2 linked regions of the Drosophila melanogaster genome follow. The protein of the gene in region 2 interacts with the protein of the main gene of each other region in a pairwise test. Each region holds a gene or a part of one and is shown on either strand. Other genes may lie near its edges. The genes, in order: Obp47b and Amy-p.

The links.
Region 1: the proteins of Amy-p (region 2) and Obp47b interact in a two-hybrid assay, tested with the Drosophila melanogaster proteins (one large-scale study listed by BioGRID).

Annotation. Positions count from the first base shown.
Region 1 is NT_033778.4:11,301,705-11,305,272, forward strand, and holds Obp47b (Odorant-binding protein 47b), read right to left. Parts: upstream 1,284-3,568; 5' UTR 1,273-1,283; coding exon 1,168-1,272; exon of another isoform or gene 1,101-1,167; coding exon 978-1,100; exon of another isoform or gene 915-977; coding exon 543-914; downstream 1-542. Other genes in the region: CG7741 (uncharacterized protein), read left to right, coding at 1,746-1,828, 1,892-2,058, 2,116-2,447, 2,504-2,821, 2,880-2,988, 3,047-3,375, 3,434-3,568.
Region 2 is NT_033778.4:17,118,380-17,122,306, reverse strand, and holds Amy-p (amylase proximal), read left to right. Parts: upstream 1-2,003; 5' UTR 2,004-2,036; coding exon 2,037-3,521; 3' UTR 3,522-3,671; downstream 3,672-3,927.

The sequences.
Region 1 (3,568 bases), 5.8 Mb from region 2:
AGTTTAATTCTAAATGCGGTAATTATATAAAGTATTCTTAGTTTGTGACCGAACGACTGCTGCTGAGAACTCGACTGACTGCAACGCTGACTTCCACTCGACTCCACTGCTGCCTTGCGATCGTTCCTTCGATGACTGATTGTCGATAACTTCGATTTCCGACAATCATGTTGCTGCTCAACAGCGCTGCCAACCGGGTTGTTGCCAGCCTTCAGCCTTACTCCATGTTACATAAATGTATATGGTGCGTACTTCTATGATTAACGGAAAGAACAACAATATAAAATAGCATTTTCTTTATATTTTATTTCAAACCTAAACAAAGTGAGATAATCTAAAAAACGGTTAATATTTCGTCACAAGTTTTAATTCAGATCGTTTGTATACTTCAGGTGCGATCGTCACATAGTTACTACCTCGTTAATTAGTTCCAGCGATCCAAAATTAGATGAATATAAAAAGTTAATTTGATTCTTATTTAATGACTACTTTTTATAAACGTATGTACATTGTACAAGCACCATCTCTATCAGGTCGTGATGTTAGGCACCCAAACCGCACTGCGTTACGTAGGCCTTGGCCAGAGTACACTGGGCATTTGGAGTCCACCGATGATCGGGGCAGTTCTTGAAGTACTCCATGTAGGTGCACCCAAGGACGATGGCTGAGAAGGGGCTGCATCTTGGTTGTTGCTGCTGCGTCTTTTGCTGCTGCACCTGTTGTTGCTGCTGCATGATCATGGCCAGTCTGCGCTGCGATTGGGGCTCACACTTGGAGAACGCCATGGTCATGGTTTCCACGTAAAGGGTATCGTTGGAGAACTTAGCGGAGAGATCACTGCGTATGTTTGCCAGGTTTAGTTTCTGGGGCTCATCAATATACTTGGAGGATGTGAGGATGCACTCAGCTAGGCACTAAGTAGATAATGTATTATGTATTGCGACTTCTTAACAATTTCATAGGCTGAGATTACTCACTGCTGCCGTGTCCAAAGATGGAGGACCTCCTGCCTTCTGTCCATTTGCTGTTCCTAAAATCCGTTGGGCGCACTGCTCAGCCACCTGGTCGCGACCCCCATCCTTGCAGCAGAGTGCGGGATCCTAGGAAAGTGTCAAAATATCTTAAGAATCACTTTAAAATTAAAAAAAAACCAAACTCAAAACCCACCACTAGTTGCGGTGGTCTTTGGCAATCAATCGTGGCTTGGCCAAATACTAGACGAGTATTTAGGGCCAGCGAAGCGAAGATCACAAGAAGCTGACTGGGCGACATAGCTGCAATTGAGTGAGTAAAATGACTGATATGAATATGAAATCGCAAGGCCCATTTTATATCCCTCACGCAGCTCCAAATCTAATGGAACGAAAAGAGTAATGGCCACTTAATAGTGCCAGCCACGCATGACCAGAAAAGCCCAGCAAAAGTTCATTGTTGCAATCTGCTGCTGTTTGGGGCCAATGTCATAAATAATGTCATGTTTTGGGCCATTGACATTGCGGTAAGGTTATAGTTCGTTATATAAGCATAGAACGTTCTTCGCTCAATTAAACAGCAATTGCCGAAAAAAAACTGTGGTGCTGGGAATGCTGCTGTAAAATGTGTCATGGTGCTCGAAATGGTCTATAATTGCGAGAATTATGTTCCAATTCGGTAAAAGGAACATGATTTGGCTTTGAGAAATTTAATATTTCTAAAATAATCAATGACCTAATTAGATTTCCATTACGAATTCTGCCGCCCAATTAATGCACCAAGTTGGCAGTACCAACATGATGAAGATTCAATCGATTGCTCAGTTATCGATAACCATGGACGCGGGCACCAAAATGTGAGTAAAAAACATGGTATAAATTATATGATTTAAGGGTTTAATATTGTTTATTTCTCCTAGCCTAGTTGTGGGCGATGTGCGAGGTCGCTTCAAGCAGCTATTTCAGCGCGTGGAGCAGGTCAACAAAAAAGCGGGACCCTTCGAAATCCTTTGCTGCGTCGGTGACTTCTTCGGGGAGGACAAGCAAAACGAGGAACTGATTGCCTACAAAAATGGTTTTAAGCATAGTAAGTTAAGTGTAATATAAGCATTTATTATTCTCTTAACCCTTTCCCTGTACTTAGTCACTGTTCCCACCTATATCCTGGGACCCAACCAAAGGGAGCATGAAAAATACTTTGAAAATCTGACGGACGGTGAAATCTGCACCAATCTTACGTATCTTGGTCGACGTGGGGTCTACACGCTGAGCAGTGGTGTTAAAATTGCCTATCTAAGTGGTTTGGAGGCACAGGGCACTGCAGATTCCGCTGGCTCGGAACACGAGTTCACCAAAGCCGATGTCATCGCTGTGAGGAACTCATGTTTGGTGTCCAAGAACTGCTCCACAGAGTACCGCGGTGTGGATGTGCTCCTAACATCGCAATGGCCCTTTGGTATGCAGGAGAAGGAAAACGTAAATATACATCTAGAGCACTTGTTACTGTGAAACTAACTAATTCCTCTTCTCAGGCCACAGCATCCAAGTTGGTATCATTTCTTTGTCGTGAAATAAAGCCGCGCTATCACTTTTGTGCCATTAATGGAACACACTACGAAAGCGCACCCTTTCGGATGCCCAAAGATGAGACTACCCAGTTTGAACTGTGCACTCGCTTCATTTCCCTTGCGGAAGTGGGAAATGCCGAAAAAGCCAAGTACATCTATGCACTCAGCCTGAAGCCAGTAGACAAATCACGCTTATTGGACCTAGCGCAGAAGACAACAAATGAAATTCCGTGTCCTTTCATTGGCTTGGACTTAGGCGGAGCTATTGGCAAGAATGATTCGGTGGGTAACCTTTACATATCTATAAGTACTCCAAGTGACTAATTATATATTCTTTCAGTCAGAAAACCGACAATACTTCTACGACATGGATGGTGGCAGACGCAAGCGACAAGGCGGTGATAATAACAAAAGAGATAAACGTCCTAGAATACCGCAGATTGAGCAAGGTTTGTCTAGTACTTAATTTTACAAGCTGCATCCTTAATACTATTCCTATATTTGTAGATAAATGCTGGTTCTGTTTATCCTCACCTGATGTGGAGAAGCATCTCATTATCACTGTGGGCGAACATTTTTATCTTGCTCTGGCCAAAGGACCGATTAACAAACACCATGTCATGATATTGTCCACCAAGCATGTGCCCTGCGCTGCTCAACTAAGTCCAGATGATTGGAAGGAGCTCAACAAGTTCAAGGCAGCTTTGCGAAAGTTCTTCAAAACGTTAGGCCAAGTGGTGTGTTTTACTGAACGGCACTATAAATCGGTTCACCTACAAATCAACGCGCTTGCCTTTGAAGAAGGCTATGCCTGGAAGATAAAACATAGTTTTGAGGTATGCTCACGACATTCAACCTTTTATAACATATGATGTATATCCCACAACATTGCAGGATAAGGCGGAGGAATTTAATCTGGAATTTGAGACACTTCCCGCATTGGATTCTGAGAAAATGCTGCCTGAAATGGGACCTTATTTCCTGGCCGAGTTACCCGACGATAGCACACTTATAACGCGGCAAATGAAA
Region 2 (3,927 bases):
GGTGTTCCAAGGGAGGGGCTACTCTCGTAAAACTTGGGTCAATGACGAAAACATAATTTGTAATTTGAATTTGCTTCGTGTTCGAGCATAAGCAATGAGCTTACCAGAATGTCCTTCGCCGTTGTCCTTTGGGTATAAGGGATTCAGCTCGCGTTTTGATCATTGCGCATATGATTCGTTGGAAAAGTGATTGCTGCTGCTGGTGAAGAGGCTTGTAGGTTTGTCACTACAGGAAATCAGCAGGTGTGATATATTGTTTATAACATTTTGGCATGTGTCCAGCAAACCCTTGACGTTGAATAATAATTAAATTTTCTTATAGTTGTAGCTTTATCTATTATTTGTGTAGCTTGAATGATTTATTGTTCTTTGAATGTGATAAGAGAATGAGATAACGTTTAGAGTGACGATGATAAGGTGAATTCAAACAATCAGTTAAATCAAAACTTTGTTAATTAATTGCAAGTCTTAACATCCAAAAAGTTGATAAGAGTAAATTAATTTATCAGTCTTAGAAAATTGTGGTAATTAATTGTGAGACTTTAGTTTGTAAGCAAGAAAGTTAATTTTCTGTGAACTTTCAGGAGTCTTAGGCTAAATGAAAACAAAATTAACTGGGAAGCGAATTACCCGAGTAACTCCACATTGCAGCGAGATATAAACTGAAATTAAAAAGTATCTTCTACATGGGGAGTTACGTCTTGGGTTGAGTCCGAGGCTTTGGGGTAAGGGATTTCTTCGTCCTTCGACTGATTTATGCGCTTATCACGCAGGCGTCGCCGTTTTTATGTCGCTGTCGTCGCCGTCTGTCGGCCATAAATGTCCTGGCCCGAGTCCTGGTCACAAATTTGCCAGTTTAATGCTCCCCCGGATCTCGACTAGCGCTTTTCAATTTCTCCACACATACCTGCGAAATGGCTTAGGCTCATCCTTCGCCCTTCGTGACAGTTTTTCATTACGCACAAATCCTTCGGGCATACACAGTCACATTAAAAAAGGATGTTGACTAAGAGCCAAAAGTAAAAAGGAACAGGGTGCGATGTAAGCAAACAGCGAATGGAGACTGCCGTCTTAGGAATTTCATAAAAATCGTTGCCGGCTTATCGCAGCTTTAAGATGTCTGCATGTCCTGTGGGTGCTCGCATGTCCTTTGCCCTGCGACACTTTCAAAGTGACATTATGCAACTTTGAGCGGCAGCAACAAGAACTGCAGCTATCTAAATTACCCAGAGACATCCGGCATGGCAGGACGCTCTTATGCGCTCAAGGATCAACAGGAAGCGCCCCAAGGAGTCTGACTAGCTCCATGTGTTGCATTTTGCCATTCTTGTTTTTTTTTTTTTGTTACGTTTCTTTGCTCTGCAAATTTCATTTGGCACTGCGACAGGAAGGAAATGTGAGCATGCAAAGCCGAAAAAGGTCCTGCATAGACACAGATAAGTTGCGCAGCAGTCGCCAATTAATCCGTCGTCCTGGACGTGTTAACATTCCGCCACTTCAGAACCCAGAGATCAAGTGGCCGCCAGTCAAGGCCAGAAGTCACGTATTCCAGAGAACGGCGCAGCCAAAGCTTCAAACCAAAATCGCTTGCTACCTTTATTTTCAACATTTTTAGGCGATATTGCATGATTTCAATGCTTTCAAATACGCTAAAAAATCCAAATAACAATTCACAGTAAACCCGCTCCTAGGAGCGTGAACGTAATAAATAGTCAATAAATTCCCAACTGAAACCGATTTCAAAGGAATGCATTTTCCCGATGAGTTATTGATACAAATATAACGAAAATAAGCCGACTCACTAATCATCAGCGAAAAATTGCGATCTCCAGTCTGCTCGAAATTCTGATTAGACAAACTAATCGCCAGTCAGACCCCATGCGTGAAAAAACCCCTTAGGGAGCGATAAGATCCCATGCAGTCACAAATCACTCCCCGCGAAGCCCTCAGATAAAGTAGCAGTGGGGTCCACTATATAAGGAGCGGCTCTGAGTAGTTCCGACCAGAGTGAAACTGAACTTCCATCTGGAATTACCATGTTTCTGGCCAAGAGCATAGTGTGCCTCGCCCTCCTGGCGGTGGCTAACGCCCAATTCGACACCAACTACGCCTCCGGTCGTAGTGGAATGGTCCACCTCTTCGAGTGGAAGTGGGACGACATCGCTGCCGAGTGTGAGAACTTCCTGGGACCCAATGGCTACGCCGGTGTTCAGGTCTCCCCTGTGAACGAGAACGCCGTCAAGGACAGCCGCCCCTGGTGGGAACGTTACCAACCCATCTCCTACAAGCTGGAGACCCGCTCCGGAAACGAGGAGCAGTTCGCCAGCATGGTCAAGCGCTGCAACGCCGTCGGAGTGCGCACCTACGTGGACGTGGTCTTCAACCACATGGCCGCCGACGGAGGCACCTACGGCACTGGCGGCAGCACCGCCAGCCCCAGCAGCAAGAGCTATCCCGGAGTGCCCTACTCCTCGCTGGACTTCAACCCGACCTGCGCCATCAGCAACTACAACGACGCCAACGAGGTGCGCAACTGCGAGCTGGTCGGTCTGCGCGACCTTAACCAGGGCAACTCCTACGTGCAGGACAAGGTGGTCGAGTTCCTGGACCATCTGATTGATCTCGGCGTGGCCGGATTCCGCGTGGACGCCGCCAAGCACATGTGGCCCGCCGACCTGGCCGTCATCTATGGCCGCCTCAAGAACCTGAACACCGACCACGGCTTCGCCTCGGGATCCAAGGCGTACATCGTCCAGGAGGTCATCGACATGGGCGGCGAGGCCATCAGCAAGTCCGAGTACACCGGACTGGGCGCCATCACCGAGTTCCGCCACTCCGACTCCATCGGCAAGGTCTTCCGCGGCAAGGACCAGCTGCAGTACCTGACCAACTGGGGCACCGCCTGGGGCTTCGCTGCCTCCGACCGCTCCCTGGTATTCGTCGACAACCACGACAATCAGCGCGGACATGGAGCAGGAGGCGCCGACGTTCTGACCTACAAGGTGCCCAAGCAGTACAAGATGGCCTCCGCCTTCATGCTGGCGCACCCCTTCGGCACTCCCCGCGTGATGTCCTCCTTCTCCTTCACGGACACCGATCAGGGCCCGCCCACCACCGACGGCCACAACATCGCCTCGCCCATCTTCAATAGCGACAACTCCTGCAGCGGCGGCTGGGTGTGTGAGCACCGCTGGCGCCAGATCTACAACATGGTGGCCTTCCGAAACACCGTGGGCTTGGACGAGATCCAGAACTGGTGGGACAACGGCAGCAACCAGATCTCCTTCAGCCGAGGCAGCCGCGGCTTCGTGGCCTTCAACAACGACAACTACGACCTGAACAGCTCCCTGCAGACGGGCCTGCCCGCCGGCACCTACTGCGACGTCATTTCCGGCTCCAAGAGCGGCTCCTCCTGCACGGGCAAGACCGTCACCGTCGGATCCGACGGACGGGCTTCCATCTACATTGGCAGCTCCGAGGACGATGGAGTGCTGGCCATTCACGTCAACGCCAAGTTGTAAACAACTGGGGAACATGGCGAACAGCCAGGCAATAAATTGAGATTATTAATTGTACGAAATATATATGATGAGATTATAAACACACAACACTTTTATTCGCAAGGGATGATAAGAATCTAATATATATATTATCTGGGCTTCAAAGCATTGATTTTATTTATTGAGTCAAGAGGGAAATTTATTTTCTTGTTATTCTCTGTCCAGGTCTAAAGTCCCCAGCGGTGAGGCTATCTATTGATTTGGACATTCCAATCGAATACAAAACAGAGATACAGAAATTTGCGAAAAAATTTGATAACAATCGTGGATTTTACGAATTAGACAAATTGATATGTGCTTGCTAATTGATGTGGCATGAAATAAGAAATTTATAAGGACGTTTTCAAGTGCTTCTATTTTAAACATT